Linked DNA regions of Caenorhabditis elegans. The protein of the gene in region 1 interacts with the protein of each later gene in a pairwise test. Each region holds a gene or a part of one and is shown on either strand. Other genes may lie near its edges.

Region 1 (3,832 bases):
GATTTGGATGATGAATTCTCTGACTGTGTGATCAATGTTGGAGGGAAAAACTATTCTGTAAAAAGACAATAGACTGCATTTTTCATTCTAATTCATTTTTATCACTGTGATATGAAACTTCTCTATTTTCAACCTAAAATGAACGTTAGTTTTGCACTCTCTACATAAATCAATTAAACCTTACCTATCTTGAGCAATGGTTGAATGTAAAGAAATTGAAAAAAAAAGAGAAAAAGCAGAACCTAAATTTGGTCACACATTTCTTGTTTTCCCATTTGGAACCAAAAATATGTATTCATAATGTTTAATATATTTATCTCAAACATGTCACAGTTAATAAAAAGGCTCATACAGTTGACGGAATTCCTGGGATTGCCTTTCTAACTGCAGCTCCGACTTCTTCAACTATTCCTGGAATTCTAGCTGGTTCATCGCCCACGACTTTCCGAATTGCCGGAATTGCTTTTCTTACTCCTGCTCCTACTTCTTCAAACATTCCTGAATCATCCGTCTCTCCTGGAATTGTTCCTCCAAACCCTCCAATAACTCCCGGAATTGGTGGGAAATCGATATCTGAAAAAAAACATTTGGAGAAAGGCCTAAAATGGGAAAACTTACAGCAGCTGGAGCACATGCGATGAGGACAAGAATGTAGATGATGAAGTTCATGTTGAATGAATTGTGAATTTATCCCTGTTACAGGAGCCTGTTTTTATATGGAGCACTGACAATAGAGCTGTGTCTAATAAAGACATGTTATTCAGGATTTTCAGACAATCCCATTGTATTATCTGTTTTTGAAAGCTGAGTCGGTGAAAATTTTTATAAATTTCAGTGCTGAAATTTTCCGTTTTTATAAATATTGTGAAAATCAACTGTAATGTTAACCATGGAATATTGACTCGTTCTTCCATGTCGGTGGGGTAGTCCTCTCTATCCACAAATCTTAGGATATTTTTAACAGTTTCATAGTTTGGTCAATTTTTTCAAAAGAAAGTTGATATCAAGATATTATAGAAAAAATTGTTGAAATAAGCCATTCAAACTGTAATGAATAGACATTTTAAACGTAGCAACACTATTAGGAAACGACTATAAGTATACTCTTATCAGTGATTTTTTATAAAGGTTTTGAAGGTATGAGGAATTTTTTGTAATTTTTGAGTTCAGGAATCGGCGTCAGCCGGTTTTCTTGGAGTGAAAAATCTTAATGGAACAAGTAATTCTGAAAATTTCCTAACAGATTCCTCATTTTTTCTCCATCAAACTGGCATATTTGCACAATCTAAGAAAGAGTTTTAAATTATAAAACAACTACATTTATAGCGCCATACTGATTTTCTGAAAGTGTTTTTTCATTTGTTTGAAAATTATTTGTTCCAAAAATTATATGTTTTAGTTCTGAACTTTCATGCAACTAAACAAAATTTCTCATTGTATTTTGCAAAATTGACATTTTTACATTAAACTGTCAATTGCACCATATTAGGAATTTTTTTTTCATTGATAAGAACTCATTTTTAAATCGTCCCCTTGCATATGTTTCTTCAGACCTATCGAATTGCTCCGTCTCCTTTTTTTTTTGCTCTCTTTGAGTATTGATTTTTATAATTAAATTTGTTTTGTTATTTTCACATGTGTGTATTTTTTTTCATATTACAGAGAACGTACGTTCATACGTTTACTGTAATATGAAAAAGTTTTCAGAACAATGTCTAAATTGTGCAAAGAGTTCAGCTTAAGCGCGACTGTCAAAAATATTTCACGATTTGTGGATGAAGAGATATACTACACTGACACAGAAGAACGATTCAATATTCCATGGTTTTGTTTGATAAACGTTTTAAGAAATAATGGTGAACGTGCTTTAGGAGAATGTGCATCGCTAAGTGTGACGATGAATTTAGTCTTGGATTGAAATGTGAAAAAAACAATTGGGACAACAGAGAATGGTCGATTGAAACTGATTGGACGATGAAATTAGTATCACACAACGGGAAAAGTTTGATGGAAAGCAAAAAGTTCACTTTCAATAATTCAAATATATTCGATGGTGGTCTGAACACTAGTTGGGATTTATTGGAAAGTGATTATGTAGTTGATGATAGTGTTGTAGTTGAAGCTCATGTCAAAATAATTAAAATAACTGGTGAGTTCGACTTTCATTTTTTACGAAAAAACTTGGTTACTTGCTCTGAAGCTTGAAAAAATGTTTTCAAAATTTTAGACTGGTGAGTGTCTATGACCTTTGGAATACAAGTATTTTTTAGTAGCACTATAAGTATTTATCATATATTAAGAAAGACGCAGACATATTTTTAGACTGTAAATGATTATTATATTTCTGTCTATAACACTTTTTACAGACTTACCATGCGACGAAGACGAGGATTCAAAAACGTTTCTTTTAAGCAGTACTGTTAGAAATATTTCAAGCATTGAAGAAGGAGACGACTATTACACTGAAACAACGATACGTCACAATATTCCATGGTTTTTTATTGAATAATATGTACATTAGTTCAAACTATATTCAATTTAAGGAGAATGCAAATTAAAAGAGATGATGGATTTTTTGGATTATTTTTGAGATGTGAAAAAGAGGATTGTGAGGATCCTGGAAAATCTTGGAGTATCGAATTAGATTATGAACTAAGATTGGTGTCTTTGAATGGACAGAGCTTGACTTTTAGTGATTCAGACTTGTTTATTTATCCATCGGGTGAAGGTTTTCAAAAATTCATGAGATGGGATGACATGGAAGAGAAGTATATGGTGAATGGTAGTATCATTATTGAAGCTCGTGGAAAAATCACTAGTCTTGAAGAAAGTGACGACGAATCCAGCAGTGAGAATGAAGAAGACGATTCGAGCGAATCCCATTCAGAAAATGATTCGAGTAGTGATAATTTAGAAGATGAATTCTCTGAGTGTGTGATCAATGTCGGAGGGCAAAATTACACTGTGAAGAAACAATAAATTATCAATTTTCATTAAATTGCTTCCGTCGACTATTACTGTCTGTGCTCTTTTCTAAGTATCAATTTTCCAATATCATTATTCGATGGAAATAAAGATTTTTATAAGAGTTGAAAAAGGGAAATTAGCGTTGAAATCAATATGAACCTACGTATAGCACTAAATAATGAGCACTTTTCACATGACATGAACAATCTAACTATAAGGAAGAACTTCTACCGATAAAGAACTATACGCTCGATTTTCAATTTCCTCTCAGAGGCTTTCTATGACTGATTGTGAGGAGGTTTCCTGTTATAATTAAAGCGGTTTTGAACAATTTTCTAGTACTTGAGCTTCACCCATCATTCACTTTTCATTCGACTTGGCTCCAAGAAATTTTTTTTTTCCATGAAAAGTTATATTGCTACTTTCAATTTCAACTTCCTTATTGGTACACTTGTTCACTGATAAGATGCATGTTCTGTGAGTCTTCTTTGGTGTCAATTTTTCTGCCCTGCACATTCAGCTTATACTCTGCTCTCTGTCAATACTATCATGACTGTGGTTCTGGATTCTATTAAAAAATTTCAGAACAATCTTAGATGTTGAATCCTTGTATTAAATATTGCATTGTAAACATAATTCCTCACTATTTTTTGCAAAATTGGCATTTTTACATTAAACTGTCACTTTCTCCATATTAGGAATAATTTATTTCACTGATAAGGACACCTTTTTGAACCATCACCTTGCATATGTTTCTTCAGGCATATCTGTCTTTTTTTTTGGTCTAATTTAATTTTTGATTTTTCTAAAATTAACTTATTTTATTCTTTCCCAGACGTTCACTGTAATATGGTAACATTTTCAG
Region 2 (7,856 bases), 9.3 Mb from region 1:
AGACCCATGAAAACCGCCAATAAGAAGATCCATTTCCATTTTCTTCTCGGCTCATTGTGCTTTTCTCTCCCAGTTTCTTTTTTTCTTCACCCTCATCAACCTTCTTCATCAATTTCTTGTCCTCACATTCTGCTTTTTCTATTCATTTTCTTTTATTTTCAACCCGAGCTCTACCCTCTTCTAATTTCCTGACCACTTTTGGACTCTCTGTGCACCTGACTTTCTCTTCCTCAGTCCCTCTCTCGTTTCTCAATTCCAATTTCCTTGATAACCAAGAATCTGTCAACCAAATCTTGAGATCTTTTGGTGTTGCCGACTTTGATTTTCTTATACATATATAGCTTTTTAGCAAATTGACTTCTTGGCTTTTTAAATATTTCAGCTCAAATTGTACATTTATATAATTGTCACATAAACTGGTTTCAAAAAGCTATAAGACTAGGAGTTTGATAAACCTTATTTACACATTCCGAACTTGTCAAGTTGGAACGAGTGAGTAAGTGTATGGCATTTCATCAAGAAGCTTTTTTTTCCCTAATGGCGTGGGTGGATGTGTTTTCTGACTAGAGGTTTTTAAAAAATAAGAGAACAACTTTTGATATTTATTCTAGACACTAACTGTGTTGTTTTTTTAAAATGCATGTGTAGTCAAACATTTTAGAGGTTTATCCATGCGACATTTTTTAAATTTCTGAAAAACCACAGTTTCCAAATTTTGGTAATTTGCCAAAACTTTGTTCAACAAACTAGATACAATTTATAGAATTATAATATGATAGATTGTAATTTCTTCGATTATTTCATAAACATAAATAATTAAAATCGCAAGAGCATAATTTTTTACATGTGAAAAAATTTTATTTGATATTCTTGCTTGTGATTTTTAGTGCCCTCAATTTTTTCGACCACATTTTTTTTCGGGCAATAGGTTTTTGTAATTTTTTTCTTCACTTTTATACTTTTTTGCATTTTTTTGCAATTAACCTTATAGTATCAAACATAAATAACAGTTGTTAAAAATCAATTTTTCCATTTTTCAAATATTATAATACCTTTAATTTTTTATTTTCTTGTAAGCCCTGCTGGTTCTGTCAAACTTCAAATTTCAATCAAAAATTTTCCAATTCTCAAATGTGCGTGGGTTGTTGATGACAGAAGTTCTATGTCAGTCCACAAATCTAGTATGCAAAGAGTGCCAAATGCCAGAAATACATACATACAAATCACCAACCTTATCGGTTTAACATATCACCTGTCTAGGGCATATATAGGTTGAGGGCTTATTGAAATTCGGCGGCTATGCTATTTGAGTCGATTCGTAAATTTGAGTAGTTTTGAAATTATTTTAAACTACAAATTTCTCGAAACTTCAGCTCTAGATTTTGATCATCATCATTGTTTCCTTCTTTTCTTCTTTTTTTTAAGTTCAAAATGTCTCTCCTTGAGTTTTGGTAATTTGTGAAGTTATATCGATTACCATGGCTGCATCTACATACGTCATAAAATCATGCCAAAACACTTCCATTTTTTGATGATACTTCTTCCTTCTTTTCTGCTTTTCAACTCCTCGTGCCTATCCTCCACGCGTGTGCCCATTGCTCCTCATTGCCGCGCTTTTTGCTCAATTTCCCACTGGGACCATGGGGTCGAGTCCGAGTCGACATAAATCTCGAAGAGTGCTGTTTGCACTACATAGTCTCTTTTTTTGTTGCTCCTCCACACACTCCTTTTCACCCTATTCGTCCCAAGAAGTACTCAATCTGATTAGAAAAAAGCCGGGTGAGAGCAAGCTGGAAATAGAGGCACACACGTGAAGGAAATCAGGAGGAGGATATGGCTGAAGAAAAGAAGGAAACAATGATCAGTACGCTACTCGAGAAGCACTATTTCCAGGTCAGATCCCAAGAGGAACGTTCATCAAATGAGCAAAAAGGGCATTCTTTCCTGTTTCTCGTTCCAACCAATTTTTCATTCATTCTCGTGCATATTTTGTCTGTGAAAATTTTCGTTTTATTTCACACTATGTGAACTCAATTTTATTCGCAAAACTGCAAAACAAATCCGGTTTCTAATACTTGAAAAATCAAATTTTTAGTTCACTGTATTTTTCCGATTTGTCTTGTACCCTCACTTTTCGTTTTTGAGTGCTCATATCCTAGTTGCTATTGGTTTAATTTGAAAAGCAGATAATCAACTATAGTTAACTACGAAAGACTTCCTCAAATGTTTTAAAATCAATTTTTGGAATTGTCTGAAATTTGAGAAAATTAATTAGTCTCAAATTGCACACAAATAGAAGATTCTGATAAATCACTATTATATAATTTTTTAAAGCTTTGGAGCAAAAGCCATTCAAATTTCAACTTTCTAAAATATTTTTAGATTCGATACTGTATGGAATTTTTTCTTTTGAACTTTTACACTTTTACAATAATTCTAATCCAGTTCAAACTTAGTTAATTAATTGAAAAAATCGCCTAATTTTTTTCAAGTTTTGGAACAAATTTTGATAAATTTTGACTGATTTTGATTGGCTTTCTTCAGAGAAAATTAAGGGAAATCTACTCAAAGAGTTGATCTTCATTTAAGTAATTTAGAACAGAATAACAATTTTCAAAATAAAAAAAAAGTTCGAATGTTCGAAAGTTTCGAATTTAGTTCGAATTTTTAAACTTTCCCCCAAAAAGGGCTTACGTCGGTTTTTTCTTAATTTTTGAAAACTATGGAATAAAATAATATTTTCTAACAATCACTTGTTCCATCCCATCTTCCAAAAAAACATTTTTTCTTCCACTGTGCTCATTGACAATGAGTAATCACTATATGTTTACTGTGTTCATTATAAAATTCATTCATTCTTCGTCTTCATCTTATTTTTCGTCACACACATATACATGCTCTTCGGGTCTTTACAAATTGTATTCGACTCTATCTTTCTCTCTTTCAATTCTTCTATTTTTTTGTCGACTGGTTTTCCATCTCATCCTGACCGGGACATGTCTCATGAGATTTATCGCGTTGCCATGGATTTAGCTCTCTTTGCTTATTACATTTTCTATCGCAAAAACGAGAGAGAGAGAGAGAGAGAATGGGAGGAGGAGTCTGGTATGCATCCGGAAAATTTGATGTTTCCAGTTTTGAGCACCGACGTTGCGATTTTGTTGCATTTTTGAAAATTTCTTGTAAAATCGGAAAGACTTCCGAAATCGCAAAATCCAATAGCAACATAAATACTAGCGCACATTTTCTTAGAAGACCCAAGATTTCCCTTCAAAATAAAAGAGAAATCCCAGAAGAAAATTTTTAAAATAGTACAGTTACAGAATCCCAGAAACAAAATAATTGCCAGGAAAATACTAAAATATTTTCGGCGGACTTGATGCTTGCAAATTGATAAACTCATTGGTATTAGTTTCCAGATTGTAAACCGTGAAACTTTAAACTTTTTGTGTAGAAGTTCACAAAGGTCCTTGAGACCGATATTCAAACCAGGTAAACGATTTTTTTTTCGCAAATCGGCAAATCGGCCAATTGCCGGAATTGAACATTTCCAGCAAAGCAAACGGGCAAATTGTCGAACTGCCAAATTTGTCGACAAAAAAGTTTGCCAAACGTCTATTGCCGCCCACCCCTGCTTCAATCCCCATTTTTCTTTTCTGACCAGGCAAGTAGCAGAAGCCGACCGGTGCCTCAACACCTTTGAATCCGTTGAAACTCGTAATTCTAAAAAAAAAAGAAATTTTTAAAATGATTCCAAATATTATAGTTTTGTTACACAATGAATCAAGTCCCTGCAATTTCTGAAAACAAGTGATTTTACCCGTAAATACCCGCCATTTGATAGTATCATGTAATCACTATAGAATAATCCGATAGATCTCTACCCATATATCCAGCTAATCTCCTTTATCCCAAAAACCCTTTTCTTCCACTTTTGTCAACCTTCTCTCTCGATCCACTCAAAGTAGTCGTTCTCCAGTATCATGTTACACAAGAAGCTGTCGTCGAGAGCTGTGCTGCTGCTCCAAAAAGTTTCGACTTCATTTCACACATTTTGCCCAGGCTCTCCAACGCCTTCTGCCCTTTTTACCTGCTTCATTAATTGCCGGAAATAGTGTGCAAAAAGGCGGAGAGGGGGCTCTCAAACACCCAACAAGAGATATTGTGTTGCTTTCTCTTCTTTACGCCTTCTTCTTCTTTTCCATCTCATTCTATTGCTTTTTCGTTCCTCATTCATATGTACGTGTATATCCGCTCTGTCTCTATATATCTTGACCTAGCTATTTCCGTTTTTTTCCCTGACACTTTTTTTGGTAAATGAGCATTGGACCGAAGAAATTTGGATTCAAATTCCAAGAGTTACCATTTCGCCTTTTGGTGAACCTCATGAGTTTCAGTTTTCAGTTTTGAACAGCCCAAAAAAACCAGAAAGTTCTAGGAGTTACTGTATAGCTGCTACTCAAATACAATTCAATTTTTCTTTAATTTTCCAATAATTTTTCCTCTCCCTATTTATCATTCTATTGACCTTCTATTCTGCATCCACCCTCACTGCCCGCAATTACAGAATCTTCAATTTATTTTTTTCGCGTTGCTCTTTTTTTCGGAGCATTGCAATTTCCTATCGGCGCGCATCTATAATTCACGTCACCATAAACAAAGATGCACTTTTTTCCAAGTTTTCTATCGTTTTCAATCAAGTAGGAAATTGGGACTTCAGAACGAAGTCTGTCTTATTTGGAAATTTTTGTATTCAATGGTTTAACACAAGTATTTAAGCTCTACCTCCTGAAAATTCAGTCTGAAATAACTTCAGTGCATTTTTTCTCAGGATTCGAATACAGCAGGTTCGTTCCAAAATCAGCATATTTTTGGTGAACTGGAAAATGTTAAGAAATATTTATTTATACCATTTAAAACATGTCTAAAATCAAATCTCAATTCCATAACAATCCTGAAGGTAAACCTTCACTTTTTGTCACCTGATAATAATTTCTCCCTTCTCTGGGAAAGCGTCTCGGAAATTTATTAAAATTCGTTTTGTGAATTTTTGATTTCTCTTGAGAAAAATTGGAGTTTCTGATTCAGCCTGTCTTGTGATATTTGGATATTTGATGAAGGGAATATTGTTCGTAGGTAGGCTGTGACTGAGCACGAGGACATTTTTTTCTGATTTTGTAGTGTTTTGACAGAATTTTATAGTGAGTTATGCAAAAAAAGATTATCAAAAATCCAAAATATGATTTTTTGCGGAATGCTTACTGCTTACAGGGGCCAATTTTTATTGAAGTTTTGCAAATTATTTAAATGAGTATAATTTAAAAACCAAGAGCAAAGCAACAAGAATATTGCCATAATTCTGCGGCCGACATCTTAGAGACCCTTATTTGTTTCAGAAGCTGGCTTCCAAAATTTTGATAATAAATTAATCTTCAAGTTATTGTATTTTCTCAGGAATATTCCTAAAAATAATTTAATAATTACAGAATTTTTGTTGGTAACCTTTGTCCAAGTTTCCTATTTTTTGAAATGTGTAGAAACATCTAAAGTGCCAGTCACAATGATGGGACATGAACAGATTCTAAATATTTTTTAAAATATTTTTTCCCGCGGCTAAGTATGTAATGTGGGATTATATCTCTATCTTTTTGTTTAGTTCTTCTTTCTTTTTCCTTTTTTTTCCTCCCATTCGTCCACATCTCCGACAGATACAATTCCAGAAGATTAGAGGAGAAAGAGAGATGAGGCATCAGAAGAACAATTCTTATTCTTCTAGCAAACTAGGACAGAGAGAGAGAGAGAAAGGTAGAGAAAGGAGAAGAAGCTCAAAGTTTTTTATGGCTCTTCTTCTCCGATTAGAGAGTACTCAGCACCAGATACCGTGACTCTCATTTCCATTTCCGATTCGACTTTACGATGCTCCGTGCACCACAGAAAACCTTTTCTTCTTCTTATTCTTCACTTTTTACGTCTTCTCTGAAGAAATTTCTAGATCTTATGCGTGCCATAATACCATTAATCTTCTTTTTTTTTCTCACAATTTCCAGTTTTTTTTCAAAAACAAATTGTCAAAACACATTTTTTTCATATGACCTGATAAATATAATTAATTATCGTTGAAAATTCAAATTCAAATTATTTCATTTTCCTGAGGCTTCAATGTAGGCACCGAAACCTACCTGCCTGTCTGGCCTTAAGGGGACCTACGCCTGCCTTGCGTCTCAACCGCGAGAGTGGCAGGTTTCAGGCAGGCGCCAGGCCCTGAAACTGTGCTTACCATCGAAATCCTAACAAAAAAACCTGTTTTAACCTAAAACGAAAACATTGAATATTTTGAACATACCTGAACCATGCTTAATTCCTAGTGCGAGTTACTTTTTTCCTGAATGAAATTATTTTTGGTTTGTGCCCAAAAAGTGTTAATTTTCTAATTTTTAATAAAAATACTTCCAGGTTGAGGAGCAGAAATCCGGCATGGACTACATATCCAGTTTCGACATTAGGCTCAATAAGGTTTGTCGCGCGAGAAAAAGTCCAAACAGCTGGAAAACACAAACAACAACAAAAATATTGCCTCCCCACACAACGTATGTATGTATGTATTTCAGGACGTCTACTACGCCGGCGAGACAATCAGTGGAAGTGTGCTGTTGGAGAACACGGAGAACATCAAAATACGTGGTATTCGGGTGTTGCTACGTGGCAAAGTGCATGCCACGTTGAAAGTGGTCAAGTCTGGTGAACGGAGGACGTTGAAAGACGATCAATATGTGCTGGATGAGAAACAGTTGCTATGGGGGAAAGGTGAGTGATAATGGACACTTCAACTTTGGCAGCCTATACATATGCCAGTTGTCGTTCGACCTATACAAAAATTGTCAACTAACTAAATATTTGTTTTTCCTCCTTCTATCGTTTTGTAGTTGATAACTTATTGATATCTCAAAAATAAGCCCAGATGTATCCTTTCAAAGTGAAGTAGTGAAAAAGTACTTGAAAGGTTGTTTCAGATTACGTGACCAAATTTGTGAAAATCTGTAAAATTTATCTTGTTCATGAAAATTAATTTAAATCTGAATTCAAAATAATTATTGATTTTCTAGACGTTTCTTTTAACGTACACCAGAATTTCCAGATAAAAGCGATGAATCAGACAGTGTCCCAATTCTTGCTCGCGGAGTTCATCAGTTTTCCTTCAACTTTGACCTCCCACAATCTTCATTACCGTGTTCATTGGAGAGTAGGCATTGTACAATTCGATATTATTTCAAGGTATTACATACATATTTCAGAAGTAGAATCAGTACAGTTAATTTTAAAATTCCAGGTAATAATTGACATTCCATATGCATCATCTCCTCAGGGAATCAAATATTTTACGATAATCGGTCCACATATCGACAGTATGGAAGAGAAATATTTAAGCCCATTATCAGCTCAAGATCGAAAAGTGAACTGTTGCTGGTGTTGCCAGCGGGGCGCGCTCGCACTGCGAATAATTCTGGAGCGGACGGCGTACGTGTGCGGCGAGAACATTCGTGTCCGAGCCCAGATTGAGAACAGGCAATCCACGGCGCAAAGCCTCGTTATCCGTCTTGTGCAGCACGTCGAGGTGTTTGTCGAAAAGGGACTTTTGGGCGAGAACAAGATGATGTCATGTGTGGTGTTCGAGCACAAGTGAGTGAGCCGGTTTTAGAAATGTCATTTGCAGAGTCGTGCAGAGATTTTAATGTACATATACAATTTTAAGAATCTAAAATTTTTCATATTCTCAATTGAAGCTTAAAAAGAAAACATGTCATATTTTGTATATCTAGGTTTTTTTTGGTTTTGCAAAAAACTATCAAATGGCAAAA

The links.
Region 2: the proteins of math-14 (region 1) and arrd-6 interact in a two-hybrid assay, tested with the Caenorhabditis elegans proteins (one large-scale study listed by BioGRID).

Annotation. Positions count from the first base shown.
Region 1 is NC_003280.10:1,867,712-1,871,543, forward strand, and holds math-14 (MATH domain-containing protein), read left to right. Parts: upstream 1-1,708; 5' UTR 1,709-1,711; coding exon 1,712-1,824; intron 1,825-1,871; coding exon 1,872-2,149; intron 2,150-2,366; coding exon 2,367-2,493; intron 2,494-2,543; coding exon 2,544-2,979; 3' UTR 2,980-3,094; downstream 3,095-3,832. Other genes in the region: math-15 (MATH domain-containing protein), read left to right, coding at 1-72.
Region 2 is NC_003280.10:11,141,064-11,148,919, forward strand, and holds the start of arrd-6 (Arrestin C-terminal-like domain-containing protein), read left to right. Parts: upstream 1-1,833; coding exon 1,834-1,893; intron 1,894-4,779; exon of another isoform or gene 4,780-4,847; intron 4,848-6,130; exon of another isoform or gene 6,131-6,355; intron 6,356-6,453; coding exon 6,454-6,513; intron 6,514-6,608; coding exon 6,609-6,804; intron 6,805-7,135; coding exon 7,136-7,272; intron 7,273-7,327; coding exon 7,328-7,677; intron 7,678-7,856.